Regions from separate parts of the Mus musculus genome. Here all the other regions are reported to be linked to region 5. The links are microRNA targets in miRTarBase. Many come from high-throughput screens and were not tested one by one. Region 5 holds a microRNA gene; each other region holds the end of a gene's coding sequence.
Evidence for each region. The annotated mature microRNA mmu-miR-149-5p reads UCUGGCUCCGUGUCUUCACUCCC and lies in region 5 at 3,429-3,451, opposite strand. An mRNA with a match to its seed (bases 2 to 7 or 8) in the 3' UTR can be bound and repressed. Matches are read on the target gene's strand: a 7mer-m8 pairs with bases 2 to 8, a 7mer-A1 pairs with bases 2 to 7 and ends in A, and an 8mer does both.

Region 1: miRTarBase lists Ipcef1 as a target of mmu-miR-149-5p. Seed matches in the 3' UTR shown: 7mer-m8 at 1,461-1,467.
Region 2: the mRNA of Vamp2 is a reported target of mmu-miR-149-5p. The part of its 3' UTR that is shown has no 7-base or 8-base seed match.
Region 3: miRTarBase lists Sec14l1 as a target of mmu-miR-149-5p. Seed matches in the 3' UTR shown: 7mer-m8 at 1,334-1,340.
Region 4: the mRNA of Crtc1 is a reported target of mmu-miR-149-5p. Seed matches in the 3' UTR shown: 7mer-m8 at 2,762-2,768, 7mer-m8 at 2,568-2,574 and 7mer-m8 at 2,247-2,253.
Region 6: miRTarBase lists Gtf2i as a target of mmu-miR-149-5p. The part of its 3' UTR that is shown has no 7-base or 8-base seed match.

The regions. Positions count from the first base shown.
Region 1 is chr10:6,886,034-6,891,104 of GRCm38, reverse strand. Ipcef1 (interaction protein for cytohesin exchange factors 1) reads left to right here. Exons shown (of 9, transcript NM_001170800.1): 9 at 430-4,740. The coding sequence ends at 630. It also overlaps a transcript of Oprm1 not described here. Among named protein-coding and RNA genes, the nearest start is that of Ipcef1, 92 kb to the left of the region's middle.
Region 2 is chr11:69,090,337-69,095,407 of GRCm38, reverse strand. Vamp2 (vesicle-associated membrane protein 2) reads right to left here. Exons shown (of 5, transcript NM_009497.3): 5 at 3,027-4,758. The coding sequence ends at 4,742. It also overlaps a transcript of Per1 not described here. Among named protein-coding and RNA genes, the nearest start is that of Vamp2, 4.3 kb to the right of the region's middle.
Region 3 is chr11:117,156,124-117,161,194 of GRCm38, forward strand. It overlaps Sec14l1 (SEC14-like lipid binding 1), which reads left to right. Exons shown (of 16, transcript NM_001166506.2): 15 at 238-416; 16 at 678-3,145. The coding sequence ends at 783. Among named protein-coding and RNA genes, the nearest start is that of Sec14l1, 43 kb to the left of the region's middle.
Region 4 is chr8:70,381,588-70,386,658 of GRCm38, forward strand. Crtc1 (CREB regulated transcription coactivator 1) reads right to left here. Exons shown (of 14, transcript NM_001004062.2): 14 at 771-4,748. The coding sequence ends at 4,537. Comp (cartilage oligomeric matrix protein) reads left to right here. Exons shown (of 19, transcript NM_016685.2): 18 at 85-224; 19 at 299-479. The coding sequence ends at 345. Among named protein-coding and RNA genes, the nearest start is that of Gm51533, 9.3 kb to the left of the region's middle.
Region 5 is chr1:92,848,761-92,853,831 of GRCm38, reverse strand. It overlaps Mir149 (microRNA 149), which reads right to left and starts at 3,454; the gene lies at 3,389-3,454. Gpc1 (glypican 1) reads right to left here. Exons shown (of 9, transcript NM_016696.5): 2 at 327-485. It overlaps Gm29480 (predicted gene 29480), which reads left to right and starts at 5,035. Exons shown (of 4, transcript NR_166170.1): 1 at 5,035-5,071.
Region 6 is chr5:134,235,176-134,240,246 of GRCm38, forward strand. Gtf2i (general transcription factor II I) reads right to left here. Exons shown (of 34, transcript NM_010365.4): 32 at 5,068-5,071; 33 at 4,322-4,396; 34 at 2,657-3,717. The coding sequence ends at 4,338. Among named protein-coding and RNA genes, the nearest start is that of Ncf1, 8.1 kb to the left of the region's middle.

The DNA of each region.
Region 1 (5,071 bases), not on the chromosome of region 5:
AAAGATAAATTTTTGTTACCCTATGCCTCAGGTAAAGTGTTATGTTCAAATTTTACTTCGAGGTTCAGATGGTCAATGAGTATCATCTGTGTACCATATTAACTGAGCCTCAGGAGATAGCCAGCACCCAGTGATAGACTAAGATGGAGTCCCCTCTGTGCTGTGAGGCAATAAAAGAATGAAGGGGAGCAGCATAGAAGACAGACTGTCTGGAAACTTGGGGGTGAATATATACAGCTTCTTATGGCTCCCACAGGCTGACCTCAGGCGTGTTGCAAGATTAGACTATTAATGCACTAAACCACATTGGTAGTGTTGCAGCCCATGGGTCCCCATGTCTGTGAAAGGGCTGAAGAAGTTGACTCATAGAAGTTCAGGTCCTCACATAATCATGGATGTCACTTTCCTTCCTGTTTTCTTCCCGGCCAGTGCAAAGAACACGATTTGGCTATGATCAACCAGCTGCTGGATGATCCAAAGCTGACAGCCAGGAAGTACAGAGAGTGGAAGGTCATGAACACCCTGCTGATCCAGGACATCTATCAGCAGCAGGCACCTCAGGACCCTGAAGTCACCCCTCAGGAAGTCATGAATCCCACGTCTTCTGATTGTGTGGAAAATTCTCTTTGAGCAGATGCCCAGATCCCACCCCCATTCCTGTTACTATACCATTCTACAGGATGCTGCCAAGGGCATTCATTCTGCTTACAAGGAAATCCCAAACCCAGTTCCTGAGACATCATCCATTCCCCGCAAGGATGCAACTGAGGTGAAGCCAGTTTTGATGCAGTGGGAGTCCTGGCGCCCAGATGTTGCCTTCCTCAATACTAGAATGAAGTGATGGAGTTCATCTGAGCAGGCATATCGTCTGTGCTTCTACTGGGAGCTGGCTGGAATAATAGGCTTTAGGTGGGATGTGAAATGGGTGAAACCCCTCTTTTTGTTTTCAAGAGAATTACAACCTGCCATAGACAAAAGGCTCAATTTTACCAGGGATAATAATTCATGTTATTTTGTTTTGCAAAAGAAGCATGAAGAACTCCCTTTGGTGGGCAGCCAAGTTCTGCAAAACGTTGTGAGTGGAGGAATTTCTTCCTTATTAGCTACTGGAACTGGACGCATGTTGGCATTTGTGGAACACAAGGCTCTTCTTAATGTTGATGTTCTATTTGCTGAGCACTTATTTGCAGAGTAGAGCATGGTGGGGGCAGAGAATGGATAGCCCAAGGAGGAGGCATTTTTCCTGTTCTACTCAGAGGTCAGCTTCATAAGTTCATGCTTTACGTAGGGCAGGGGATGTGATTAATATGCCTCTTCCTCACAATGTCTAGGAGACAAACTATCACATGACCTTTGGAGATGTCGTTCCCCCCCACCCCCAGCTTCTCTGAACAGTGGTAGGATATTAATACCCACTGTAAGGAATGTTATATTAAGTTTACCCCTGCCTGTGGTGCCTAGAGCCAGCATGAATTCGTGTCCAGTTTTCCTGGGATCCAAATTCTCAAGGTTATTTCTGAGTTGTTCTTAACTTGGAGAAGTACCCGGACCAGCAAAATGGGATCATTTTATTTTTGTATGTTTATGTGTCAAATGGTGTGAGATCTGAACAGTGATCTATGTTTCTTATTTAAATATATTTATAGAAATGCAAATTATAGTGTTCTAAAAGAAAGTGTACTATTATGTGTTGATATATAGACTATACATATATATGTGTGTGTGTATATATATATATATATATATGTCTAGAAGCATATCATTTTTGCTTGAGAAAAATAGGTATAGTAGTGACTTACTGGTATTGTATTGCACTATGATATATAAAGAATGCTCAGGAAATCTCGAGAGAAAACCACGGGAGCATGTATTAATAATTACTAATTTTCTGAATGCTTTCTTTCCATTACAACCCCACCCTCAGCTCCAGAGATCTTACATTTCAATGCCTGTTACACATCATTTTCTTAACTAGCTCCTTAGGTTAGCTCTTCTATTCACAAAGGTTAAGCTTTATGATATTTAGTTGCCATGAGTTGTAGACCCAAAGAAACACATCTCACAAACTATTGAGCCAAATAAAATATAAACAATATGATTCCTAATTATATACTAATAAAAATTAAAGTTTGTCATTAAAGAGATCTCAAGGAAAAACAATATATTAATCATAATGACAACTTCTAAATCATAACCTTAATTCACTGAGGACCTATGTGTGTCTCACGTGCCCTTTGAAAATTGTTGACGTATATATTCATATCATAACATCCCAGGTGGCTCGGCAAACTCAAATAGAAATAGCCACCTGATCTATATCTATAAGGTGAATAGAAAGAATTGTTTATTATTTCCCTGTACTTCACCAAGACTTTTTTTGTACACTGAAATGAAAACCAGTCCTTGCCTTAGGAGGGAAAAGTAAAGAAGCAGCAAAAAGAGAAGCAGAGAGAAGCAGAGAGAGGCAGAGAGAAGCAGAAAGAAGCAGAGAGAAGCAGAGAGAAGCAGAGAGAGAGAAGCAGACTCATCAAGTGGCGAGACGAAGCCTGGGGATGAGCTGAGAGGCCCTGCAGGGCCCTCCATGGATCCATGCAGTTGGAGATGCTAATGCCTATCAGGACTGATTCCATTTCCTCCTGTGGCTAGTAGCTGTTCAGAGGGCAATGTTTTGGGGTTCACAGTGAAAGGAAGCATTGGGGGGAGGCAAATTAGCATTGGAACAACCTTAGCCTGGGAGAAAATATCCACTCATGTCTTTTATTAGCAACTCCACTTTACAGACCTCCATCCTCCCCCAAGTGGAAGCCCCAAACACTTTTTATGAGGGCTGATTGCTATATTTAAATGTTTTACGTTGGCTTTCCACTCATAGGTATTTAACTGACCTTTGAATGTAAACTCCTTTAGGAACATTCAGATCTAAAGGCAAAGTTGGTTCGTGAGATTGCTTGAGCAAGTCATAGGGTTAATTTTCCAGGCAACTTCAAGAAAGTCAGAGCAGACATTTCTGCTTTGGTGGAACCAGCCTGCTGAATGTTCCCAAGTCAGTCTCAGCCGTGTCCTGACCTCCTGGGCACAAACCAACCACTCTCTGTTCCCCAGTTCTGTAAATTAATACTTCTTCACTCTGGGCTAAGTTTAGTCACAGCGTAGGGGTGCTTCTGTGGGTACCCAGCCTCAGCTGTGATCCTAAGAGTAGGGTGAGGACAGACGAGGTGAGCAGGAGAGTGAGTGACACTTCTGGGTGAGGACAGAGAGAGCGACACTTCTAGAGACCCTCAGTGAAGAGAAACCATGAGGAGCTATCCCTTGGCCTCAAGTCTCTTCTCTGGTTCAAGAGATTTGGGAACTATAGATCTCTCCTAGTTAATGGCTGGGAAATGGACTATAGGTAGTGTGAGCCCAGGGGAGACTCTTGACTGTGCCTCTGGAATGTACCAGAGCACCCATCTCAGGACACTGGTGGTGGATCTTTGAGCACGAATCTTTTAGAACCCATGGCACTGGTTAAGGATGAGGCTTCTCTGGGGACTTTTGGGGAGGCAGGGCTGAAGGAGGACTCTTTCTTTCTGATCTGAAGACCCAGATGAGAGCCTGGCAGAGGACCCTCACTAGTTGAGAAGTTGCTAACACACATATGTCGCACGTTTTTCTGTTGTTTGCAAGATGTCTGTCATTTATAAGAGTTCTTAGCTTTCCCTATCGCTTTAATCTGAGGTTAAATTCAGAGTCCCAGAAAGATGCTGGAGCGAACAGTTGCAGGATTCCAACAGGCCAAGAAAGAGGTCAGGTTTGGAGTCATATTTTCAGTGTGAACCCATGCCTTATATTTGCATAGCTCTTTGAAGTTTGCTAACTGTATGTTCCAAACCCCCTTCCCTGCGTCCTACCACCCCATAGGCTAATCGGGATGATTGTGAACTATGGGTGTAATGAAATGCCTGGCTCAAAGCCCCAAGTGGTACAGCCGGAATCTGAGTTTGAATTTCAGGTCTGTCAGCCCCTCTGCAGAGGAGGAATGCTTGTCTCCGCTTAGCCTGCTGGGGGATCAAATGGTCTGACTTGGCCCCTGTGTCTATTACTCTGGGTTCTGCACACCTGGCTCCTGCGGCTTCTGCTGAACCCCCAGAGGCACTGCTGTGAGCAGTGTCTCCCGAAAGGTCCCGCTGCCTTGCCACTGGGTTTTCTGAGAACTGGAGCTTGGCCTGATTGTTGTTTCTTTTAGTCCGTTCTATAAAACACACTATGTTAGCACTGTGAGGACTTTAAAGCTAAAGGATACAAGTCTTTTAAAGAGCTGGAAAATGCTCATTTTTCTAATTTTTCCTTTTGAGATGCGAACTGTCCTGTCAGGTATCAGAGACTTAGGGATTAGAAATGAGCCACGGATTTGTGATGAGGCTCATTCCCTCAGGGAGGGTTCAGACCACATAGTCACACAGAGGGAACAAAGGAAAAGAAAAATAGTTTTCAGTCTTTTGAGGAGAGGTACTCTGCCGATGTAAGCCATATTTAACTTTACGGACACAGGCTGCTTGTAAAAAGAGAAAGACAATATTTTGGAACAGCGATACAAATGATCTAGGTACAAAGAGTGACTGTTCAAATGTCACATTATATTGAAGCGGTACTCAGCCCAAATGCAGGTTTAGAATGTAGTTCTGCTTCCCACTAACAGAATAGGATACACAAAGAAGATTTCCAATCTCTTTTCCATCAAACATTTCTGTATACTTACCCACAAAAGAAATTCAATCCAAGATGTAGGTTACTGCCAGCTTAAGGTTTTGTCATCCATAATAGTAAATTCCCCTCAAATTAGATTTTCTAATCTCTGTGAAATGGATGGGTCAAAGGGATGTTCCATTCACAGGAAAAAAACCTTCTCAATCACACCATATCACATGGAGCACAGGAAATCAGACCCTGCATTTAAAAAGAAACTTCTCCATTTCCTTCGTTGTAAAGAAACTTAGTTGCTCTGTATTGATGTCTCTTTAGCTTTAGTCCAAAGGGAAGCATGCCCCATGGAGACATTTAACACCCTGTAATAGAAACCATGGTTTAAGTC
Region 2 (5,071 bases), not on the chromosome of region 5:
TTTGCATGATCCCTCACACACACCACGCCACTGACACCCCTTTTGGTCGAGCGCACCTCCCCAAAAACACAAGTTCGACGGCTCCAGAGTAAGGGGCTACTCACAGTTCCGAGCGCACGTAGACTCCAAATTTCTTCACTCCTGGGGCTCCTCCACAGAGTCCTCGAGGCCCTCCCACCGCCCGTTCTGTCACGCCTCCCTAGCTTATTGGCTCAGAGACGCCAACCCATGCCCCGCTCCGCGTGCAGCCGGCAAGCCCTTGTAAAGCAACCATTGGCATTTCAGAACTCAGTCATTTTCCCATTGGACAATATGACAACCGGTAGTGATAGAGCCACGTGAGGGCGGGGGCGCCCCAACTCGTTGATTGGACATCTGACCGGAAGCCACACCCCCACCCACTCTCAACATTTTTACTGGCTGCAGAGACAACCCCGCCCTGCCTAAATCAGTGACGCAAATGCCAGCCCTGCCCTAAAAACTTTCTCATAGGCTGAGAGGGCTCAGAGCTGTAGGGAACACGTGCAGGCTGGCTCACGCGGCAACTTGTTTACCCAGAAGCTGGGGATTTTCCTTGACGACACTTACCCAATACTGCGGAGTCTGCGCAGGCGTGCCGAGCGACTTGTACGCAGGCGTAGATCTGACAGGCTATGGCGTAGTGGGCATACTTTGGAGACTCTGGCATTACAAGAGGTTTCTGGTGCCTGAGCTTTGTGTCTCTAGTGATCCCCAAAGCTTAAAAATCTGAGCACTACACTGAAGATATCATTAGATTGCATGACAATGACGGTGAAATGACAGTCGCCTCCTATTTATTTTCTTTGGGCCTGGCTGGCCAGCCCCTTCTTGCAGACTCCCAAGAAGGCCGGCTCACTACCCATAACCTCACAAAAGAGGCTGAGAGGTTACGTAATCTGTCGGAATTAGATTATGTATATTGATAAAAGAGCTAAAGTCTGAACCCAGGTCTCTGACACCATAAAGGTAGCTTGGTATTGTAAGGCCTATGGAGACATTAAACCTAGAAGTAATTCCAAGAATTAAATGCAAAAAGCCTTATTTAAACTCTCCATAAAGGTAGAATTTAGGATAGGCTGTAAGACACCTCAGTACTTTAGAACCTCTGAAATAATTTCCAATGACACCCTTTTGCGGGGCGGGGGGTGTATTCCAGACAGGTTTCTTTCTTCTTTTTTTCTTTTTTCTTCGAGACAGGGCTTCTCTGTGTAGCCCTGGCTGTCCTGGAACTCACTCTGTAGACTAGGCTGGCCTCGAACTCAGAAATCCACCTGCCTCTGCTGGGATTAAAGGCGTGTGCCCCCACTGCCCGGCCCAGACAGGGTTTCTCTGTGTTGCTCTGGCTGTTCTAGAACTCACTCTGTAGACCTGGCTGCCCCCAAACCTGGAGATTGCCAATCCACCTGGCTCTGCCCAACTTTGAAAATCTAATTTTTGTTTGTTTGTTTTTAAGATTTGTATGAGTACATTGTAGCTGTCTTCAGACACACCAGAAGAGGGCATCGGATCCATTTCTAGATGGTTGTGAGTCAACATGTGATTGCTGGGAATTGAATTCAGCACCTTTGGAAGAGCAGTCAGTGCTCTTAGCTGCTGAGCCATCTCTCCAGCCCCTGAAAATCTATTTTTAAAAGTACTTCTAAGCTGGGCATGGTGGTGCACGACTTTAATCCCAGCACTTGGAAGGCAGAGGCAGGCAGATTTCTGAGTTCGAGGCCAACCTAGTCTACAGAGTGAGTTCCAAGACAGCCAGGACTGCACAGAGAAACCAAAAAAAAAAAAAAAAAAAAAAATAGTTCTAATTTTTTTTTTCTCAAGACAGGATTCCTTTGTGTAACATAGTCCTGGCTGTTCTGGACTCTTTGTATACCAGGCTGGCCTTAACCTCACAGAGATCCATATGCCACTACCGCCCAAATACTGGGCTTAAAAGTATGCACCATCCCCCGCCCCTCGCCCCCAGCTCTCTAATAGTCCTTATTTCTTGGCTAGCTAATGATGATGCACATGTTTAATCCCAGCCTCAACAGGCAGTCAAGTGTGTATTCCAGGCCTAATCTACACAGTGAGTTCCAGGACAGCCAGTGTTACATAATAAAATTCTGTCTCAAAAAATTTTGTTTTCTTTTTTTTTAATTTTTTTTTTTTTTTTTTTTAGACAGGGCCTCATTATGTAGACCAGGCTAGACTCACAGTCAAGAGATCAGCCTGTCCCCACCTCCTTTATGCTTGGATTAAAGGCCTGTACCACACCTGGCCCTCTAGTGGTTCTTAGCCAATCCTCCCACCCCGATCTCTATTCAACTGCCCTGGAAAGTCAAAGATCACTGTGATCCAGCAAGTACCACACTCACTAGCAGTGATTAGTCCCTCGTGCCCTGAATACAGAGGGCAACCAGAAATGCTACCTACTTCCTATATAGCTATATCTCAGTGATGTTGCTGAAGTACAAAGGGGTAGTGATGCTTCCAGTTCAAGAGTTCGGGAGTAAGAGTTACACAACGCAGTGCAAGGGTAGTGTGCCATCTATAGCTAGCTTTATGCCACAGTCAGCTTTGCCTCATCAGGCTGATCCTTTCAAGCATTCATCGGCCCATCTGGATGTACGGCACTGAAATGGACAGGGGAAGACATGCCCCCACAGAAGTGGTCCAGGAGTACAGGGCTATGAGAGAACCTAAGGAATAGCTAGCAGTGACATTTAGGAGATAAAGGAGTTCTGTGGTAGCAGCTCACTCTAGGCCGGTAGTGGGAAGCTGGTAATCCCAGACTGCAGAGTTCACCTGCCTCTTAGACATCAGGTACTTTCTTTAGTGATACTTCTGATTCTCGTCTGCTGGTGCCCCCTGTGGCCACTTCGGGAATTACACTTTGCCAGGGCCCAAGGTCAGGGCCTCCTGCAACAGGCCAGCCAGCTCTTACCAAAGAATCTTTCAACCACTCCATATCTGAAAATCCAATATTCTTATTACTGATTAAGAAAAAGATTTTGGACACCATATGGTTACTCATTACACGTTTATTGTACATTTTCACAATCTGGATGCGCCACAGAATTGGGGGCATGGGGCAGGGGAAGAAGGAAGGCAGGGGACACTGGGATAATATTGGGGGTCTAAAACACAAGCACCCCCACCCCCAGCATCTCTCCTACCCTTTCACACCACAGTTTAGATCTCCTTGGTTCCCCTCCACACAGAAAACCTGGTGTGTGGGGGGCAAGAGTTTGGGGAACAACCCCCCCCAAGGCAGGTTAAGGGGCTGTACCCTCAGATCCCTAAAACTGTGCCATTTAAAAAGATTAGATCCTTCCTCTATCATTGTACTCAACAAGGAAATAGCTTGCTTTCTCTCTCACACTCTCTCTCTCTGGGCTCAACAGCCCTGGAGAAGGACGAGGATCCCCATCCTCCAGCAAGTCCCAACACATATTGGCAGTGACTAGTACCCCCACCCTGAATACAGGGGGGCAGTCAGAGGAGCTGGGCAGTGATGGGGGTAATACCCCCCCCCCAGACTGGGGAGGAAAGTTTTCAGTCGAACCTCTAGCAAGGATGAGGCCAGAGACTTCAGGCAGGAATTAGGGGGATTCTGTTTTGTCCCACTCCTCCCCAAGGCAGTGATGACCCCCACACACTGGAGCCACCCCTCCTCAAAGAACCAGATTGTGGTCGGCCCCCAGTTCTCCTGATGGGAGGAGGCAGCAGATCAGGCAGATGGGAGGGAGCGAGACCCCCTGGGAATGTCAGTTGAGTGCCCCACATGAAAACTGGGGAGCAGGAATGTAGGGAGAGACCCCGAGTGGCAGAATTATTGGTCCATCATAACACACTGAACTCCAAGACACTTACACACCAGCTGGGGGAGGGAGAGGAGGGTACAAGAGGTGTGGGAAACGGGGTAAGGGAAGCAAACTAGACTAGAGGGGTTGGGAGGAGGAAACCTTGGGGTCCAGAGCAGCCTGGTTCCCCAAAAGTCCAGACTCCCCACCACCTGCAGATAATGTCGTGCTAATAAAAGTGTGGTAAGAGGACCAATGGAGACTGACTCTTCCGAAAAGAAAGAAAGAAAAAACACAGAAGAGTGAAGAGTGATGGATCAGAAAGGAAACAAAAAACTAACAAACAAAACAAAATGAAACAGACAGCGTATGCAAATGATATGCTAATCAACATGTTGGAAGCTCCCAGAAAATCTTGGGATTCTTAGGACCAAGTGGAACCAGTCTCAGAGCCTCCCAAGGGATACAAAGATGCAGCCTAGGGAAGCCTAGACAGGTGGGGTGTTCTGTTTGTTTCTGTGGGGTTTGCTTTTGTTTTGGGAGGGCCTGGGATTGTACAGGGAAGATAAGGGAAAGATCGGTTAAATCCAAGGGAAGGAGGAGAGGGGCTATTGCATAGCAGATGCAAATGAAGGGACTTGGGGCTGATCAGGAAAGAGGAAAAGGGACAGAGGGTGAGAGAGAGGTGATGGGAACCTCAGGAAGGGGTGTTAAGGACAACCGGAAAAAATCTTCTAGTAATAAAACTACAAACAGACCAAATATATATAATATTATATATGTATAAATAACAGCTGGCTATTTACAGGGGGCACACACACGGACACACACACACACACGGATCCAAGGGAGGGGGCTGAAAGATATGGCTGAGAGGTGGAGGAACGGCTGGGGGTGGGGGAGAGGCCCTTCTTAGGCAGGGCAGACTCCTCAGGGATTTAAGTGCTGAAGTAAACTGTGGAGAGAGGGCAAGAGGAGGACGAGGGAGAGGGGGAGAAAGGAGGACGAGGAGAGGGGGAGAAAGAGAAAGAAAGCAGTGTGTCAGGCCTGGCCCTGTTCCAAGCCTCCCCACTCCCCCACTGGCTGACATCCCTTCCCTCTCAGCCTCAGTTTCTTCAAAGGGACTTGGCAAGTGGGTATTGAGGTCCCTTAAACTCCACGGCTGGACAAAGGGGCATAAAACCTTTAATGCACTGGGTATGTGACGGTAGCTTTCAAACAGTGGAGTAAGTGGTATCCTGGTGGTTGGTGTTCGAGACCTCACCCTT
Region 3 (5,071 bases), not on the chromosome of region 5:
CAGAGAGACAGGCCCTTCTGACAGCTCCCACCTGGCCAGGCACTTTCAGCCTGGTACTCTCTAGAGGTTGCAGGTTGCTGAGGGTGGTAGACAAGGTGCATGCTGCCTTCCTAACACCTGACAGACCATCGCATAGGCTGCCTCAGTGGGTGGAAGGGCATCCATCATTAGGCTGTTGGCTCAGGACACCCCTCCCCTTGGTGGAATGTCCTGAGTTGCTGCTGTTCACTGTTGCAGGGGTCCCATGTGACCAGGTGGCCAGGCTTCTACATCCTACAGTGGAAATTCCACACCATGCCAGCATGTGCTGCCACCAACCTACCCCGAGTGGACGACGTGCTGGCCTCCCTGCAGGTCTCCTCCCACAAGTGCAAAGTCATGTACTACACAGAAGTGATCGGCTCTGAAGATTTCAGGTTTGTGCCTGAGAGGGAGGCTCTGGCAGCAGGGACTACTTGTTCACTGCCTGCAGCTCTCCATAGGAAAGGGAGTGTAGCACTTGCTAAGTGCAGTGTCACCCGAGGGGCAAACTACGGATTCCTCCATTGATTCTCATGTCCTGTCCCAACTTTACAAGGGCCGACGGAGGGGGGGGGGGGGGGAGCAGATAGAGATGCTCGCTTGGGGCGGCTCAGAGCAGCTCCTCACTCCTGGTTCTTTGTTGATTACATCTGCAGAGGCTCCATGACCAGCCTGGAATCTAGCCACAGCGGGTTCTCACAGCTCAGTGCCGCCACCACCTCCTCCAGCCAGTCGCAATCCAGCTCCATGATTTCCAGGTAGTGCCGCGAAGCCTGCGCCTGCGCGGAGGGCGGGCGCCCCGGCTGCTGTGCTCCGCCCACCCCAGGATGTGCAGACTCCGCCCACCCCTGGATGTGCAGACTCCTCCCTCTAGATAGCAGCTAGATCTGCAGATGGTCACTAGTCACCTGGTCCCCAGACCATCCTGAGAGGTAGTTTTAACTCTACCCCTAACTTTAACTCAATAGCCATAGATTTTGTATACAGCGTGCACAAAATCAAACCAGAGCACAAGGGCTCTCGAAAGAAAAGTAGTTTATCTACAGTAAGAGACTGACTGGTCTCAGTTGTCGATGCAAAAAATGTTACCAACAAACTCCACCTTGTCCACTAGTGAATGACTTGTGTGACACCCTGCAGAGACTCGCCACCTCCTCCTCCACGGAACCGAAGCTGCAGCAGGCAGCCCTTAAGCTGCAGCGGAGTCCTCTCGGCTCCCTGTTAGTGGAGGTGGCCTGTGGATCCAGAACAGCTCTTGAGGTCCCTTTCCGCTAAGGACTTGGCAGCCTGAGGAGCACCCAGTGCTGGGTCAGAGCCAGCCTGATCCCGAGCAGACACTGCAGCCCAGGAGGGGCTGCCAGGGCTCCTCGTGAATCCTGACAACACCGCCATCATTAAACATTGCTTTCTCTTTCCTCCTCTTCAAATCTTTTGATATTTTTCAGAGCAAAATTTTTCTGTCCGTGAACTTGGTGGAGGGGATGGGGAGGATTCTTTCCCTCTGCTGAGTGCTGCCTTTCCTTCTGCAGGAGGCGGCTCTGTGCCCGTAGCACCCAGGGTCCTCAGTCCTCTCAGAACCCAGGGTCCTCAGTCCTCCCAAAACCCAGGGTTCTCAGCCCTTAGCACCCAGGGTACTCAGTCCTCCCAAAACCCAGGGTTCTCAGCCCTTAGCACCCAGGGTACTCAGTCCTCCCAGCAGCACCCAGAGTCCTCAGTCTTCCTAGCACCCAGGATCCTCAGTCCTAGCACCCAGGGTCCTCAGCTCTCAGCAGGGTGTTTGGAAGCAGTAGGTCACACTTGCCTTTAGAAGTGTGGCAGTGCAAACTCTAGCAATGCTCTCCAGGGGGGTGCATGGCTTGCAGTGGCCTTCGGCATGTGGGTGGATGCTGGGTATGTGTGTAGGTGTTGTGTGTGTGCATGAGGGAGTGGGGTGTAGCTGGGGAGGGGCTGCAGATCTGCACTTGTTCTTCTGCGTTTCATAGAAGCAGGTCAGAGGCTGGGGCTAGTTTGCCTTTTTTCTTCTTTCTTTTTTTTCCCCTGATCTTGACTCCCCAGAGCCTGCTGTTGGAGCAGATCCTTGCTTTACGGCTTTTATGGGGAAAGCATGCTTCTTAGCGAACTGTCTAGAAGTTGCAGGTGGCTGATCTCCAGAGGAGGGGGGCCCAGGATCTACTTGTGTGTGTGTGGTAACAGTGTCTAAAGATGTGTGCCAAATCCGAGTGGCCATGAGAGTGTATGGCGGGAGTGGATGCCTGTGTAGACGCTGCTCTGAGGCTCTGGGTGGCTGGCTGTGCGGTGAGAGCTATGGAGAGGCTGTGGCATGTCAGCAAGCATGAGGAGAGCCGACACAGCAGCCTGGCTTGGCCGATGAGCCCCCTGGCTCCTGGCACCCTGAGCCGTGCTTGAGCCTCTGTTTGGTGGCCTTTCTGGCCCACTGCCATGCCTTTCCTGTCTGTGGGAGCGCTTGTACACAGCACAGCAGGGCTGTAGCTACCGCGTCCATGCTGCTTCCAGTCAGGGCTTCCCAGCTCCGAGTGAAAGGACCTGAAGATGCCCCTGCTCTTTCTCTCTTCTCTCTCCCTTCCCCTCTCCCTTTCTCCATGTCCCAGATGGCGATTTTGCTGACATCCTCCAAGAAAGCGCTTCACTCGACAGCCCACATGTGCCCAGAGATGTTTGTAGACCTATCTGAGTCGCAGCCATGTCCCAGGCTGAAGAGCTGTTCCCCTTAAGTCCATGCCGAAGAGGCACTGTTGAACCCCCCAGAGCTGAGAGCATCTTTAAGAGCTCAAAGCACACAACTGCACACTCACAGGCCCTCAGCTTCCCCGAGCCACAGGGCACTGGCTGCCCTGTAAGGGGAGGCTGGCTACGAGGTGACCGTGTGGCTCGCACACGGGGCTGCTCCTCCCAGTGCCCAGCACCTCCTAAAATGCTGCTCCCTCCACTCTGGGCTCTCCCTGTTTCTAGTGTCTTAACCCATTCTCCTTCCTGAATCCATTCTTTGCATATCAGATTCTGTAAATGTTTTGTAAACATATTACCTCACTCTTGGTAATACAATACTGATAGTCTTTAAAAGATTTTTTTATTGTTACAATAATAAATGTGAACTGTTTAAGAAGAGTGTCCTTTTCTTCTTGGGAGGCCCCAAGGAAGAATAGAGATTGAGAGGAGAAGCTGCCCGTGCCTAAAGGCAAGGGGAGGCCAAGCGGCTGAGTGGATGGCCAGCAGTCACCCTGTGCCTCTCGAAGGCCTGCTGTGCAGATCAGCACATCAGACATGTGCTGCAGAGTGAGTTCTAGGATAGCCTGGGCTACATGCCAAAACCCCGCCTCACAGCCTGGCTCTCGGTATCATTGTATTACTTAATAGTAAAATAGATTTCTCCAAGCAGGTGACTCTGGAATTCAAGACAGTAAGCAGGTGTGGACCTGGGGAGGCTAGAGTGACCTCATCTTGGCTCTCTTGTTTCTGGGGTCTGCAAGGCAACAGAGCCCGGGACAGCCGGGCACAGGTCTGGGAGGAGGAAGGTCATCACGGTCTTGCCGGGGTGCAAGGTCAGAACCTCCTCAAAGGGAAGGGCAGGCACATCTGGGGGTCTGATCATGTAGAAAGCAAGAGACTCCCAAGCATGCCTCGTTGTCTGGCATGTGAACTCTGCAGGGCTTTTGCCCCAAGCAGTAAGGCTGGGATATGGCCGGACACCCCATCTGGCGCATCCTGCTGAACTTGCCACCCGAGGAAAGACTTAAGGTTGGTCAAAACAAGCCTGTCTTGGCTCCAAGGTCACATTTTGTTGGAAATGAGAGACAGCCTAAGAACACGCAAGGCTTAATTGCATCTAACCCAAAGTTCTGTCTGAACTATTCAGATATGACCACCCTGGAGTGGCATGCCCTAACTAGTCCAGATTGCTAACGTGCGTTCACCGTGAATGACACCATGTTTTCGTTGACAGGGTTTTGGCATGTAGCCCAGGCTATCCTAGAACTCACTCCTCAGGCTGGGCTGGCTTGAAACTCAATATCCTGCCTCTGCCTCCCAAGTGCTGGTATTACAGGTGTATGCCACCATTACCACCAGCCCTATGTTTTCTTTGATGCCAGATCCCTGGAGAATTCTGACCAAACCTAAACCTTGGGGCACCTGCAGCTCTCAAGTACCAGGAGAGTTATTCTCATCAACATCACGAAGCAAACCAACTGGGCTCAGTTCTGCTTGCAAAGGGAGGGCTTTGGCAGGGTGGCTCAGCGGGTAGGGTGCTCACCGCCAAGCCTAAGGACCAGTGTTCCACCGTGGGGACCTCAGGCTCTCCTCGGTCCTCCATGCGCATGCATGGCATATACACAGGCACATGCAAATAAATGAAAATTTAAAAACTGGAAACCAAAGACTTGGAGAGTTAGGCATTCTGGGAAGACAGCAATGGCGTCCCCACATAAATGCAGCAAGGGTTGAGCCTACGACAGTTGGAGTGTTGAGTCCTATGCCCCAAAACACTAAAGTGATGGTTTGCTGTATTTTCTTCCCCACAGTAATAGCTCCTGTGCCCATCACTCTACCATAAAACTAGGCAGTAAGTTATCTTAGAATGTCCAAAACAACCATCTCTTGGACAGACCAGTGGTCACAAAACCCGTGTGGACTCCGAGGAGAAAGCAGAGGTGGTCTGGAAGATGCTGCAGCCCGGGGTCTTGCTGGTTAGATCTGGGGCAGGGCAGACTGGCCGACCTGACCTGCTGCACACCGAGAAGCCACGGGTGTGGGTGGCCGCAGGGCAGCTCTGGGAACAGATTGTCTTACCTCTGTACCACCGAAACAAGACGAAGGACGCTCATGCAGTAACATCCGCCAAGCCGTGACCCAACACTAAAAACTGAATGTTAGGTCTGGGCTGTGGGTGGGTCCAAAGAAGGCTGGCCTAGGCTGCTGGAAGCCCTGGGTTCCCTCCACAGCACCGCAGAAAACAGGCCCAGCAGTGGAGAAGCAAGAGGGTGTGAGGGTTCAAGGTCATTCTTGGCTACATTGTGAGTTAAGAGGCAGCATG
Region 4 (5,071 bases), not on the chromosome of region 5:
AACACCAGCCCTTATTTTGAGTGGGAACTAAAGATGAAGGGGGTGGCAAGCAGGGAACCCAACCTCAATAGTCCTTTATCACAGGGTGCGGTTCTATGAGGGTCCTGAGCTAGTAGCTGACAGCAATGTGGTGTTGGACACGGCCATGCGTGGTGGCCGCCTGGGTGTCTTCTGCTTCTCCCAAGAGAACATCATCTGGGCTAACCTGCGCTACCGTTGCAATGGTGAGCGAGGGGCCAGCAGGCTGGACCCAAAAGGCTCCAGAAACCTCTCTCACCTGTTGCCTTCCAATCTGCAGATACAATCCCTGAGGACTACGAGAGTCACCGGCTGCAGAGAGTCTAGGGACCAGTGGGGTCCCGCTGCCTGATGGACTGTGGTGGCACAAGCTACGGGTGTGTGTGTGGGGGGGTCTGGCATCCCTCTGAAGGGGTGTCTGGCCTGGGGAGGAGAGGCAAATAAAGTACGTATGTGGGGGACTGGCTGGCTTTGGTCGCTGCTAAAGGGGCACTTTGTGGAGGGGCCTCCAGGAGGCCCTAGGGTCTGTACTCTAGTCACTGAGACTGTCAGGGGCATGCAATTCACTACAGGTGGTGACAGCCCTGGAATATTCTAAGGTAAGAGCAGATGGCTGCCTCCAAGTTTGAGGAACCCCAGTCACTGAATGGCTCAGTGGAAGGTGTTCAAGGGGCTCACACCTATGTGGGGCTCAGCCACAGGAAGATGAGGTAACCTGGAGGGAGATTGGAAAAAGAGGAAGAGGCCCAGACGAAAACATTGGGTTTTTATTACATTTCATTACAAAGGGCGCAAAAATACAAAGAAGCGTCTGCGCCAGAAGGTGGGGCGGGCGGCCGTGCGTGCCCTGAGCAACCTGACCCCCAACTGCGGTGCCCATGCGCACGATCCACAGACATCCGCAGCGGAGTGCGCATGCCGGGGGCAGAGCCAGCCTGGGCACGGGGAGGGGAATGTGGAACCAGCCATTTGCATATATCAAAGGGGCACCCCAGCCCATGGCGTCCTTTTTCCAACTAAGGGGTGAGATGGGGCCTGAGAAACAGGAGCCTGGCCTCTGGAGTTATGGCCACAGCCCTGTCCTCATGTCCCCCTGTGACCAGAAGTGCTGGGTTGGATTAGGCTAGGCCTTACCCCATGTGATGGATCCCTAGCCCCAAGGAAAGGCTGAGTGCAGAAGGGACTGCTGGTCCCATTGTGGGGGTTCTGCTGCTATCCCTACCCTGACCAGGAGGTTGGGCCCCTGAGCCCAGCAGGGTTGAGAAAGAGGAAAACTGAGGTTCAGGGCACCCCATGGCCTTGGGAGTACCCCAGCACCCAGGCTCGAGAGGATACAAGTCCCTCCATCTTCTGCCCTGACAGGGAGATGTGGCTATGACCAATGGGTGGCAGGCATTTGTGCCACACTGAGGGCCATGCCTGAGACAGAAATGATCAGGGTCGCCAAATCACCCACCAGATCCCTGAAGGAAGAGGCCCCCTGGGAGCCAAGGTGGAAGGGGTATAAAAAGGACCAGGTACCACCACACCAGAGGCAGACCACATGGGGTAGACTGCGCCACGGTGTCCTCACCTGGACAGCTCTGAGGGACAGCAGCCAGACCTAGGGCACAACTCTACAACCCCATGCCTGTGCACACAGCTGCATCAAGACCCTGATACCAGCAGCCCTCTCAACCTGTGCTAAATCTCTGCAAAATAAAAAACCCCAGGCCCACTGTGAGAAGAACGGCAGCTGACACTGGTGCAGGTTTGCTGTCCCCATGCCTTTTGCCCGTTCTTGTCCTGACCGGAGTGCCAGGACTCTTGACATCAAGCCCAGTGTGATAGCTGTCAGCCATCCTTGGGTGCTGTGCAGTAGCACATGGGTTTCACTAGGGGGCCCCCCTGTGTAAGAGTCTTCCAAAGAGTTGAAGGCTAGGCTAAGTACCAGTGGACTTCCCAGAGCCACACTGGATAGTGTTGCAGGAAGGGGATATGACAGGGCCTTGGGTCAAGGGGACAAGCCATTTCTTAGGATATAGAAAGGGGCTGGGTCCAGCTGCATTGTTGTTCTGTGGGGCTTTGGGTAGATTGCCAAGGTTAACTGAGGCAGCTGGGCATAGAGTTATCAAGATGCCCCAGTCCTGTTTCTGAGTCAGGGAAGTGGGCTGGACAGCCACATGGCTGAGGAGGGGCTTGGCTGAAGCTGGTGACACATGGGTAAGGTGGAGGGGAAAAAACCAGGCCTGGCTCACGCATCTGACCTCTCAAGGGCCAGGTGTCTAAGCCTGTCCTGAGAGAGCATGAATGTGGGCAGAGGGTCTATGTACACATTGCAAGGTGGCTGCTCCCAGCACAGTTCAATGGGTCACAGTATCTGCATGTCACCAGCTGAGGCCCCCACGGCCTTGAGCTATCATCTTGGGATGTCTTGGCAATACAGGGGTATTATCGGACAGGTGACCTATATCTAGAAAACAAAGACACCTCCCAGGAGTCCCCCTGACAGCAGCTAGGCCCAGGGGAGGGGAGGGTGACCCCTTTGGGAACATGCATGCACCCGAGTGCTGGCTCCTGGCTGGGCCAGAGAGCTCATGAGATGCTCACAGCTGCCTGGGGCGCTGAGGCAGGGACGTGTCACCTCATCATAGGACTTGGCAATGAACTGGTCACATTAATACAGCTACATGCACTCTTGGCTTCAGGGCACTGAAAGCCAGGCCACCAGCTTAGGAGGGCCATGGGCTGTATCTGTCCTGCCCTGGCTCACTGAGAACTCAGACAGCCAGTGAGTAACTGGACTCCAGGTACCCTGTCAGCCTCTCGGCCCTGTTGAGGCCGTTTGCTCAGACTTCTACAGCTGGAAGAGAGTCCCACCCCACTTCTGTGTGCTTTCCAGCTCGCCAGTGCTGGGGTGACAGACGCGTGCCACCACATACGTTTGATGATGATGGTGATGGTGATGATAAAGTTCCCACTATTCCCTTCAAGTCCGCACCGTGGTGACAGAAAGGCCTGAGACCTGGACAGGTGACTTGGACAAAGCAATGCTGTGTCTTCAGACCCAGGGGAAGGGGAATAGCAATGAAAGGGTGGCAGCTTTCTCATGCAGGCGGCTGCCTAGGTGCTTGGGGAGAGACACACACAGCTTGTGTGCTCCCCAAACCCCCAGCATGGGCAGTGGGCAACGGCACAGAGAAACAGTGAAGCCGCGGCCCGGGCCTACGGAGCAGAGGCAGAGGGCATGTCAAGCTATGACCTAGGGTGGTGGGGATCAGAACTTCCAGGCCAAAGGTGACCCCGGTCCACAGCCCCCACTTAGCCACTGCTAAGGCCTGGCAGACGCCTTAAAGATCCTCAGAGAGAGAGGGTTCTCAGGAGGCTCCAGTGAAAGTAAAGGCTGTTCCCAGGATATGTTCTGCGGTTCTACAGACACGCCCAGCCACCAGGACCCTGCATCCAGCCCCATCCTTGCCCACCCAGCTCTCTGGAGTTGAGACTAAATGCCAGTACGCCCAGGTCCAGGGTGAGCAGCCCAGGTGCCCCAGCTTGCAAGTGCTCCAGGCTAGTATTCCAGTTAACTTTTAAAAAGGTAAAGGAGGGACTGGGGGATAGTTAACACATGCTGCCAGGCAAGTCTGGGGGGGGGGGGTCAGCTACCAAATGCCAACAGAAACGGAAGGAAAAGCAGAACCACCAGGGCTGCTGCCTCCCGAGCCCCAGATCCTAAACAGCAGGAGGGACAGGTCACGAGGCTGGAAGAGTGAGGAGAATGTGCAGGTGGCCCGTGACCCTCCATCCCAGTGCCACCATACTGACCTTTGTCCAACAGGGGGCAAGGATGGTGAGAATGAGCCAAGGAGGGGCACTGGCTGCTTCAGTGGCTCTGTCCATACCACATTCGGCCATAGGTCGATTGTCACGCTGCAAGAGCGCTCAGGAATATAAAAGGCAGCCATCCAAACAGTGTTTATTCTGGTCCAGGTCGGCCCCGTCACTCTGCTGTCTTTGCCCTGGGCTCGGTGGGCATGCATGACCTGACCAGGGCTGGGGATGGCGGTGGGGAGGGGGGCAGGATGGAGGAAGGCAGTGACAGCTGACAACAGTCGAATGGATGGCGCACCTAAGCCTCTGGGCGCTCCACACCCACGCCCCGGCCCTCCTTGCACAGCACATCTGGAAGTGAGTGACACTTTGGGTATCTGATGAGGGCTCTCACATCCCCAGTGAGGGGTGAGGGAGCGAGCACGGGGAACATCCATGGGGGCCAGGCACTCACAGCCTCGGCCATCAGCCTGACCCCAGGTAGATGGATGGACAGACAGATAGCCAGCCTAGTACACAGCGGCCTCACACACGCCAGGCATCATGGGAGGTGAACGACCGGGGTGGCGGGGGGCTGGCAGGGGCACTGGGCAGCATTGCAAGCTCAGAACCACAAGCTTGGCCGTTGGCAAAGGGGGACGCCATTGCCGTCCCCAGGTTTGGGGCAGCGCCGTTGGAGACTGACCAGCGGCGGCTGGTGGGCACAGCCACTCACAGGCGGTCCATTCGGAAGGTGTCCTCGGTGGCTGGGTCGGCTAAAACCATGTCTGGGTCATTCAACATATGGAGTCCGTCCAGGGTCAGAGGGTCAATCTTCAGCTCGTCCAGTGGAAACTGATGGTCTGAATCAAAGCTGACATCACTGACTCCTGCCAGTGTGCTGCTCAGTTCCTTAGAGAGGCTCGGTGGTGACTCTCCTGTCACTGTTGGGTGGGGACAAATGACATGGCTCAACCTTGGCTCCAGGGAAGCAGACACCGGGCCATTTACTTCCCACCAGTATGAGAAGCAGAAGTGGAGGGGGCAGCTCACCCCAGGGATTGTTCTGCAGGGCGAACATCACAATATCTAGGGTGTTCTGTGTACTGTGGTGGGGTAGACACTGGCACTGGGTGGCGTGAGCCAGGGACATGGCTCAGCAGTCTACAGAGCATGAGCTGGTCCCAGCACTGAGGGCAGAGACCTGCAAAGCCACATGCTTGGTAGCAGATGGCAGTGTGACCTGCAGGACATACTCTGACCCAGA
Region 5 (5,071 bases):
CCCTGCACTTTCAGCCTTCAGTCTGAGCTTCCTGACGGGGGGGACGGTAGCTGGGATAGTGGGCCTACCACGGGGACCCCAGAAGATGCAGGTGATACAGGTCAGCCCTCTGTAGGTCTGGAGGGGAACTCTGCTTGGGACACAGAAGCACCTCAAGCCCAGCTGTTCCCCTCTGAGGAGCAGGCCCATTCTCCCTAGGGCCCTGACAATAACTTGGGTTCATTGTTCTATTCAAGCCTGGCAGGAAGAGGGAGACCCTCCTATGGAGTTAGCCATCCAAATCCTAGCCTCTGGCTCCTCCCCCACACTCACAAGTGCCCACTTACCATCGATGCCATGCAGCTGGGTGGCCAGTGTGGCCTGCAGGGCGCGGCTGCTGTCATGGAGTGCGCTCTCCAGCTCCATTCGGCTGTGGTTGGCCAAATTCTCCTCCATCTCACTAGTACAGCAAGTGTAGCCCTGGGGGCAGATCCGCAGGTGCTCACCTGTGGGACGGCAAAGGGTGTCGTGAGGGGGAACAGTGGTCCAGGATGCTCTGCCCAAGATGGGGCTCAGCTCAGGTTAGGAGCCCTTTGTGAAGGCAGAGATGGGGAGAGGGGGCACATTGTAGGGCAAAGCTGGGCTCCAGTGTCTCTGACCTCCCAGGGCCTCTGATTAAGATTCAGGGATGGGGTACCACAGGTTATCATAGTTATCAGAGGGCTGAGCCTCAGACTACGAGTACTGTGTGACATAGTCCAGCATCTCAGGAATGCAATGAGAGTCCTAGCAGGGCTCCCTGAGAGCCAGCTCAGCCCTCACATAGAGGGAGAGGCTGCCCGACTTAGGTTGGGGACCTGATAGAGGCTTTCGAGCCTGGCAGGTGCCTCTGCCCGGGGGAGGAAGAAGAAATCCAGCCTCTTCTTAGCTCAGGCCAGTCTCAGAGGCCACCTGACTGACAGCAGAGTGGAGTGCCCCATGAATGTTCTGCAGGGCCTGTGTCAGCATTCTGCAAGGGCCCTGGGTACCATTCTGGGGTGAAGAAAAGCATGCTCTGCGCAGGCACTGGGTCCCAAACAGAGGCCACTCAACCCTGGCCTGAGGTTCCCACTAGCTGGACACATTCCCAGTCCCCATAGTGTTCTGGCTGAAACTCCCTCCCCCGCCATCTATCCTGGGCTGGTGAGCTGACCTGTCAGCCCTTGGTGGCACTGCAGCAGTACCATTCAGGACAATATCAACTGCCACTTGCTGACAGAGGGTTGCTTTGGGCCTACAATTGGCCTCAAAGTGTCTACCATGGAGCCCTTACAGCACACACCTGAGAGTCTCCTGGCATCAGAAGAAAACCTCAATGGGAGAGGAAACCTTCTGCTAAGGCTATAGTGACACCAATTTACAGGGAATCTGAGGCTTGGAGACTGGCTTTTGTCCCAGTTGGGGGCTGAGCTACTCAGGACTGGGCCTATGCCTGACCCCACTCTGTTCTACTCCCTTCTCATAGGGTCACACTGCTGTCTCTGAGCCTAAAGACAGAGCCCTACAGTCCCTACAAGGGACTGGGTGGATCAAAAAGGCAGAGGCAGTGGCCCAGCCTTAGGTGAAAGGTCTGAGAAGAGGGAGCGGTCAGCAGGGATTCTAGAAGCTTCCCTCGTGCAGGAATGCTGATTTTGATGTTATGGGGAGCCAGTGAAATGCAGAGTTTCCAGAGCCCAGAGTAGGTGCCAGGGCTGGTACCTGGGCTTTATCCTTGCTGACGGGTTGATGGGAAAGGTGGGATGTGAAGAACTCCAGGATGTGATACTGCAGGCTGCCATCAGAGGTGGGGGACTGAGCCAGAGGGGAGTGGACATCTTGTCAAGAAGCATGTGGGGGCAGGAACCTGTGACCTCAGGATGAGGCCATTATGTGTTAGGCCCCATTTCTATGAACCCCCCTCCCCTGAAGCCAACTGGGAGTGGAGATCTCTGACTAAGGAGAGATTCTGAGGTTGCATTCACCCTTAAGAGCTTGTTACATGATCACATCCTTGTCTTTAGCACTTAGTAAGCACAAGCATTTATGTGTGCTGGATGGTGTGTGTGTGTGTGTGTGTGTGTGTGTGTGTGTGTGTGTGCATATTGCAGAGTGGAACTGTGTACAGCCTCTGTGATTTTGACCTGACATGGAAGGTATATATCCCCAGATGCCACCCCTCCATCCCTAGGTAGGGCAACCTTCAGATCTGCTCTTCCAGGTCTCAGGTTGAGGGCCTGGCCTAGCCCTTCTCCTGCTTACTAAGGCATGGGAGCTGTGCTTCATCCCAGAACCCTGGGGACTTTTGGCCTCACAGGCTGAGTCCCACCTGGTTTCAGGGTCCCCAAAGGTCCACAGAGCAGGGCAGTGGCTGACAGCTGGTAGAAGAACAGAAGGAATTGTATTCTGATTCAAGGGTGCTTGGGGGAGTCAAGAGAAAAGGGAGTCAGAGATGGGAGGTGCACACGGAATGCCCCTCCCACCACTCCCCTACCTGGTACCCTCTGCTCCTACCACACTGCTTCCTCCTGCCCAGGGCACCTGCCTTTCACAGGGACTGCAGGTCCTGGGAAGCAACATGTTATTAAGCACCCAACCTCAAGAAAGGGCTGGGTTGGTGCCCAGACAGCTGGGAGCTGCAAGCCTAGGTCCTGCCACTTGATCTGCATCCATTGATTGATTCCCTTCCTTCTAGAGTAGGGAGGGCTAAGCAGAGATTATCCACCCGCAAGCAGGCTACAGGCACAACAAGGTACAGGGCCCAGCAGGGCCTTCTATTTGCTCTGCTCCGGGCCATGGTCTGCTGGGCTGAGGTGATATGCCACATCTCTCTCTTTGAGTGGTGGGGTTTAAGGGTTTTTCTGTTAGAGGAGGAATCATGGGGGGCACTGTAGAGGATGACCCATCTCTGACTTCAGCAGTGAGTGGGGAAACAGCTATGGGGATGGAGGCTGCAGGTATCAGGATGGGGCCATCCTGGGCTCAGCTGGGACAGAGGCACTCTGTGTGTGTAGGCCAAAGGTTTTAGGTGGAAATATTGAGGACCAGGCTGCACAACAGAGCACTGGCAAGAGAGAGGTGGGCACAGCCTTACTGGCCCCTCCCATGGTTTCTGCTCCTCTGACATCCTTCTCCATCTTAGTGGTCCCAATTGCCACCCCTCACCACATAGACAGAAGAACGAAGCTGAAACAGGAAGAAGTTAATTAAGGACACACACTCAGAAACAGAAACTCGCCCCACTCCACGGCAGGTTCTGGATAAATGGGACCCATGAGACTTTTGGCCAGCTACTATGAGCATACCCCATCCAATGGCCTCCCCTGCAGCCCCCTGGCTCTGCCTGGCCACCTCACCCAGCCAGCCCGGTGACCTGCGCTGTTCCAGTTGCCCCAGCACCGCCCCCGTCCCTCCCTCCCTCCTCGGACAAACACGGGAGTGAAGACACGGAGCCAGAGCCTGGGCACTGGCCTGAGGGCCCCGGGCAGGCTGGGTCAGGCTGCCCAGAAGCCCATGCATTGGCAGACCTGCTTGCTGAGGGTCAAAGATAGAGGAGCTGAGACCCAGCCCAACTGGAACCATAGGTGCTCAACATCAGAACAGCTAAGGCAGGCTCTGCAAAGCTCTCTACACTTCCAGGAAAGCACTGGAGTACATACCCATCGTAGGAACGTCTCTCCGTTCTACCCTACCAGCAGCTTCCTCCTTGCCAGCCCTGAAGGTGGGTGGGAGTGGAGCGGCAGTATTGTTCCCCACTGACCCCGCCCATCTCTCTCAGAGTTGGTTTCATTTTTCCAGATCTTTCCCTCCTGGGTTTTTGGGGGGCACTACCCTCCCCTGGCACTCACAGGTTTTATTTGGGGAAGGGGGTTGTTTGTTAATGGCAGGTTTTCCCCACTTTAGTCCCTTTTCTAAGCCTTGTCCCCAACCCCAAAGCCTCTCAAATTCCAAGACCCCTGCTTCTTGTGACACTTAGCATGGCACCCCATTGCAGCAAACCCATGGGCAGCAACTGCTCATTTACCTCCTCCCAAATCTGGCTGCTTGCACCCCACCCCCGGCCCCCCACTATTCTCCAGAGCAGACAGCAGCTTGTGGCTTCCTACCTTTCAGGGTCACACCCTCCTGCCACCTGCTGACAGCTCCAGCTCCTGCTCCTCCCTCACAGAGGCAGCATCCCTCTTGGTCATCATCCACAGTCACCCCAGGACTTTAGCAGAGTCCAGCATCCTGATGCTACCCACAGACATCTCTGACCTGACCTCCCCTGACACTTCAGGGACCCAATGCCTTGAAACCCTCCACCTTCTGAAGATAATGCAGAGTCATGCTACCCCGCCTCTGGTCCATTCTTCTAGAAGCTTCCTGTGCTCACGGGGGAGATGCAGAGTGGAAAGCCCACTTCCCTCACGGCCCCTAAAACACTCCAGCTGGCACGGCTTGGGGGAGTGTAGGGGCATTCGGAGTATAATCTCTCAGCACCGCAGATAAGGGAGAGGCACAGGCTACACTCCCCTCCCCAGCTGCTGGCTCCTAGAGCAGGCCTTTCTGTTGACTGGTAGGTTAGAAGTAAACCAGCCCTCTGTGCTCCTGGGTTTTCCAGCCCCAGAGGCTGAGAGTCTCCAGGACGTGACAGCCTGGAGCAAATGGCCCAGCTTTCTGGGGGACTACTCACTGCCCAGGCTCCAGGGGCATTTTCCCATTGCTTGCTCCTGTTCCCCAACAAACCTGTCTAGTCCCCGGGGGTCACACCCGAAGGAAGACATTTCAACTCCATCTCTGAAATTGGAAAAGCATCAAGCACAATCCCCTCCCCGCCCCCACCTCACTCCCAATACTTTTCCACCCTCCTGGATGCCTTCATGATTCCCGAGCCCCTGCCTCCGGTTCACCCAAATGGCAACATCACCAAGAAGAACCTCCATCACGAACAGGGACCCCCTAACTGGGGGGCATCGGCTGCTGGCACTTCTATGGACTCGATGGGAGGGGTCATCTCCGGGCAGGCAAGGGCTCCTGCCAGCTGCCTCTCCAGCATCAGGCCAGGCCCTGGGCGAACAAAGCCTGGGCGACACCT
Region 6 (5,071 bases), not on the chromosome of region 5:
AACGGGAATCGGGTTGTTAACAGATCTAAGGATAGACTGTGTGTGTGTGTGTGTGTGTGTGTGTGTGTGTGTGAGTCTGGATTCCATTCCCAGGCTGGCTTAAAGCCAAGATCGCTTGGTTTGTGGGCAGATCCAGGGCTTTGTGCATACTAGACAGGCACCCTCCCCTGTAAAAGTGTTGGGACCCTGCTTTCCTGTCACCCCATGAGCTCCTGTGACAAGATCTGCTCTCTCCCTGCTAGTCACGTACTCTAGGATGGTAACATTTGAAAGGCCTGGTTTGTGATGCCGGAGCCCAGGGCTCTGTTTATGCTCTGCAAGCATTCTGACAACTGAGTTGTATCCCCACCCAACAGATCTTCTCTCTTTCCACACTGACTGGGGAAAGGGGAGCAAGGCACACAAGCCACAGTGTGGAGGTCAGAGGACAACGTGTGGGAGTCCGTTCTCGCCACCGCGTGGGTCCTAGGCACAGAACTCAGCCCTGAGTCTTAAACTAATGACGTGGGGTAGGTGTGCTGGCCTGGCCCCCATCCCCAGCAGGAAATGAGACTGGTGAGGTGAAGACGTGGGTAGAAAGGGCTGGAGAGATGGCTCCATGGGTAAGAGTACTGGCTGCTCTTCCAAAGGACCTGGGTTCAATTCCCAGCACCTACATGGCAGCTCAGCTCACAACCATTTAAAGTTCCAGTTCTACCTTGGTGGAGCTTGATGGAACTGGCTTTGGTGGGCACCTGGCACATACATGCAGACGTCTACATAGGCATAACTCTCATACACATTAAAAAACAAACCGGAAGCAATGGCTGAGGCTGCAGAGTGTAAGTTCTATTAGGCTGGCTGAGGCTTCCTCCACCAACCTAAGCCTGCTCGCCTGCTCCTCAAGTCTCTCCATCTCCTGTGGTCACTCTTCCAGACAGAACAGTAGACAGCTGCTCACAGCTTATCGGCCGTCAACGCTAACTCCAGGGGCATGCTTACCCCAGAGGACAAAAGAAGTCAGTATTCTCATTGGAGGCCAGGAGACTGCAGATGGCCGGGGACGGCAGCTGAGACCCCAAGGGCTGGTGGTCTACACAACATGACTGGGGAGGGTGTGGATCAGGACCTGGGTCATACCACAGTGTACACACAAACCCAGGAGACTGTTGTCCTACACACACACCCCAGGACAGAAGCTGCTATTGAAGGATCAAGGTTCCATCATCCTGCGGTTGGTTCTGAGTGTGGGCCATTGACCTTTGTCCCTGCTCTCAGAGGGCTGGCATTACAGGCCTCCTCTACCACTCTACTCAGCTCAAGCATCTCTCCCATCACTGGTTTTCTGAGAGTCTCCTGCAACCCAGACTAGCCTTGGATTCACCATGTAGCCAAAGATGACCTTGAACTCCTGATTTTCGTGTCACTGTCTCCTAACAGGCATGAGCTGGCTTTCAACTTGACCTTTTGAGCATATACCGGTTGAATTATTTTTGTTGTTTCGCAGGCAACAGCTGGGCCTTAGTTTCCTGCCTACACTCTCTTGAGTACTGGGACCACAGGCCTACTAACCAATGCTTGGCTCTATCTGCTAGCCTCTATGAAGCTCTGTCACCTGGAGAGATTAGCCACAATATTTAGGTGCAGTTTCAGTTGGCTGGCACTACATAGTAAATCTCCTGGCTGGAGACACTGAAGCTTCTACAAGTGGGTCCCTGCCCCTCTCTCACTAGGAGCTGCCTGGACACGGCCAAGTTGAAGGTAATAAATACAAGGCTTTTTGTTCCCTCTATGACAGGAAACACCTTACCAATCGGTATTGTGTCAGCCAAGCTTTCTGCACCAGGCCTTCCTCAAAACCAAACCACAAGAAACAAGTGTGGGCGGGGCAGGTGAGGGCCACCTACAAGGTGTCAGAGCACTTGGGTAGATGACAGGGTAACTGCATAGAACTCAGGTTTCCGTGCATCTAGACGAGCAGCCTAGTGACTGAGTCACATCCCAGCTATGGACGCTTTACTGGTGGCCATGACCCTTTCCACTCAGCTGTCACCTACCAGCCTACCTAGTACAGGCGGCTGTCATGTCACCCACCTGTACACAGCCATGTCTGACCCAGGGCAGTTCTATCCCGTGCCATGGTGTGGGGATGTCTCCAAAGGTTCACAGGATGAGAGTTTGACCTTGGCCTTGGCATCACTGGAAGATGCCAGAAGTTGGATGCTGACAGGGCGTGCCCCTTGTTTCTCCCTCTGCTTCCTGGCTGCCCCATGAGCAGCGGGTGAGCTGCCCCTTCTCCTCTGTGCCCTGTCACTGAGTACTGCCTGACGGATCTCAGCCGAGGAGGCTTCTGCCCGATGACTGACTCTCCTGTGCATCATGTTACCAGGGGATCCCTGGCCGCAGCCTGGGCGGGCATCATCTTCCACATCCTCCAGCAGGGACTCAGGGACTCCCCTGTGCTGTGGCTGTGTCCTCAGAGTTCTCCTCTGTCTCCAACGCACGTAAGATGTAGGCCGGTGGGGGCTGGGCACAGCTCCAGCTCCACAAACCAGTGACTTCTTGAGAAACACCAGGAATACGGGTGTCCCATCTGTGAGGGACTGAGGTGAACATCCTACCAGCCCACACCCGTCCCGCCTCCCCAGGCGCTCACGAAGACAGCAGGAAAAGAATGAGTTTGCATGTGAAAGGCATGGATGGATTTTATTTATTACCCTATATCTACAATTTGAGGTAAAATATAAGGAACACATAAAATGCCTATCTCTGCTACCGTGTGATATAATTTCCCATTGTGAACATTGTGGTGACTACCGAGAACCGTGCCCTCACGTGCCTAACTGCTGAGAGCTGTTACCTTATCATCGTCTGTGAGCCCCCACATAGGGCGGGACACCAATGTCCTCACTCCCCACCCTGGCGCAGAGGCCAGACAGGTGGTTAGAGACTAACCAACCAGGCAGACACACAGCCCAGCCTGACTCGACCCAGACCCAGAGCTGCGGCCCAGAGCCCCTGAGGCCACTGTGGGTCCCAGTTGGGGAGGGGCAAATCCTCCACCTGCTCAAGCATGCAGACCTGACCTCTGACCTTTAGGACACACCCAGAAATCTACTTGCTGTAAAGTAACCGGAGCGAGGCTCTGAGGCTAGCCTCTCCAGCTGCACTGCACGGATGCACTGGCTGCTCACTGGCGGTCAGGCGAGCTGGCCGGCTTTGCTCTGAATGGCAGTGAGGACAAAGGAATCGTGATGGAGCTTGGGAAGAGGCTTAGTCACACACACAGACAGCAGCCCTCCCCTGGCAGGAGGGGCAGCCGAGTGCAAGACCACGGAACTGGTCTTCAATAGAAAAACTAAAGCACTGACTAGCACAGGGACTTCCTTTGCTGCGGAAGCCAAGATGCCCTGTAGGAATATCTCACTGACGGGAACACGCACCACAGCCCAAGGCTCTGCCCGATGCATAAGAAACCCTACGAGTCGTCCCTGCCATTCCCGCCTCTTTCAGCACTGCTGCAAGACCCTTCTAGTGCGTTCCCAAGCCACCAGGCACGCGCATCTCATCACGCTGTGTAGCTCAATTCACAGAACTGCTGAGAAAGTAGACATTTCTATCTAAAAGTAGAAAAGAAGGTTTGTATAGAAGGTATTTCTGTTATACAAGTATATTACAGAGCTGGCAGGAACGGGTCCCAAAGCTCTTCTCCACCACGCACGCTGGACACTGGACGAACTGCAGAGAGAACAAACACGCAGGCAGTGGGTGAGTCAGATGGCAGGGGCATGACAACCTCCTGTCACACACCCTGTTCCATCTGACAGACATGCAGGCCCAAGTGCACTTGTGAAAGACGGCAAGGCCTAAGCCTGTGATCTGACACGGTCAGGCACATCACCAAGGCTGCCAGGCAAAGCCCATCACAGCAGACTGCAGTCTCCTCACTTGCGGGTCACTGCAGCCCACCTCTTGGTGGCAAGTCAGCAACTGATGGGGCTGGGCTTGTGACCGGCCTAAAGAGGTCAGCCAGAGAGGAGGCAACCTTGGCATACAGACTCAAAACAAACATGTCCCTTTAAGGAATACTACCTCTGTATTACCCTACCCCACCCCAAGACAGACAGGGTCTCACCACGGAGCCTGGCTGGCCTGGAACTTACAAGAGACCCACCTATCTCTGCCACCTCACTCATCTTGGCTACATCTTTGAGTGAGAAAAACCTTTGGGCCTTATGTCCCCTGAGGGTGGCCTCATCTCACAGCCAGAGCAGAAGGGATGTGTCTGCACATCAGCTTATAAGTGGGCATGGATGAAGGGCAGCTAGAGCGAGGCTCTTACCCTGGAGAGCCACGGTCTACCACGTGGGGTCTGGCTCCTGCTTGATCTGTGAACTCCCATCTGTCTCTTTAATTTCTACAGAAGAAACAAAGGGGTAACAATGAGCTGTACCACTGGTGCAAACCTGCTTGCCAGTAAGACTAGCCATATGAACCTGCTAAGATCTGCACGAAGCCGTTCCATGTGGCTTCTGCATAAAGTGCTCTTGTTACGGGATCTGGGCCTTACAAATGCCTGCCAAGTGTTCTTCTATTGAGCCATGTCCAGCTCATGCCTGATTCCCAAGTAACAGATTCCATATTGTTTTGGGTGTATTTACCATCATGCCTTGTCTAAGCTATAGGGATCTAGAGTTTAGTCAGAGCCACACGGGGAGAACAGAGAGGAAGTCTGCCTTCTTCACTGGACAGTGTTCATGGTAGAAATCTTATCAATTTAGGGCTGGAGAGGTGGCTCAGCAGTAAGAGCACTGGCTGCTCTTCCATAGGACCAATATGAGTTCAATTCTCAGCACCCACATAGAGGTTCACAACCATCTGTAACTCTTATTTCTGGGGGTCTGATGCCCTCTTCTGGCTTGGGTACTATATACACATATAAGTAGGCAAAACACTCATACATATTAAAAAAAAAAATTCCAATCAACTCACTAAGAACAAAGACACAGAGCATCACCGTGAGCACAGTCACACTGTCCCAAGGTGTCGGTCACTAAGTCTGTTCGCTGGCAACAGCGCAGCTCTTACCTTC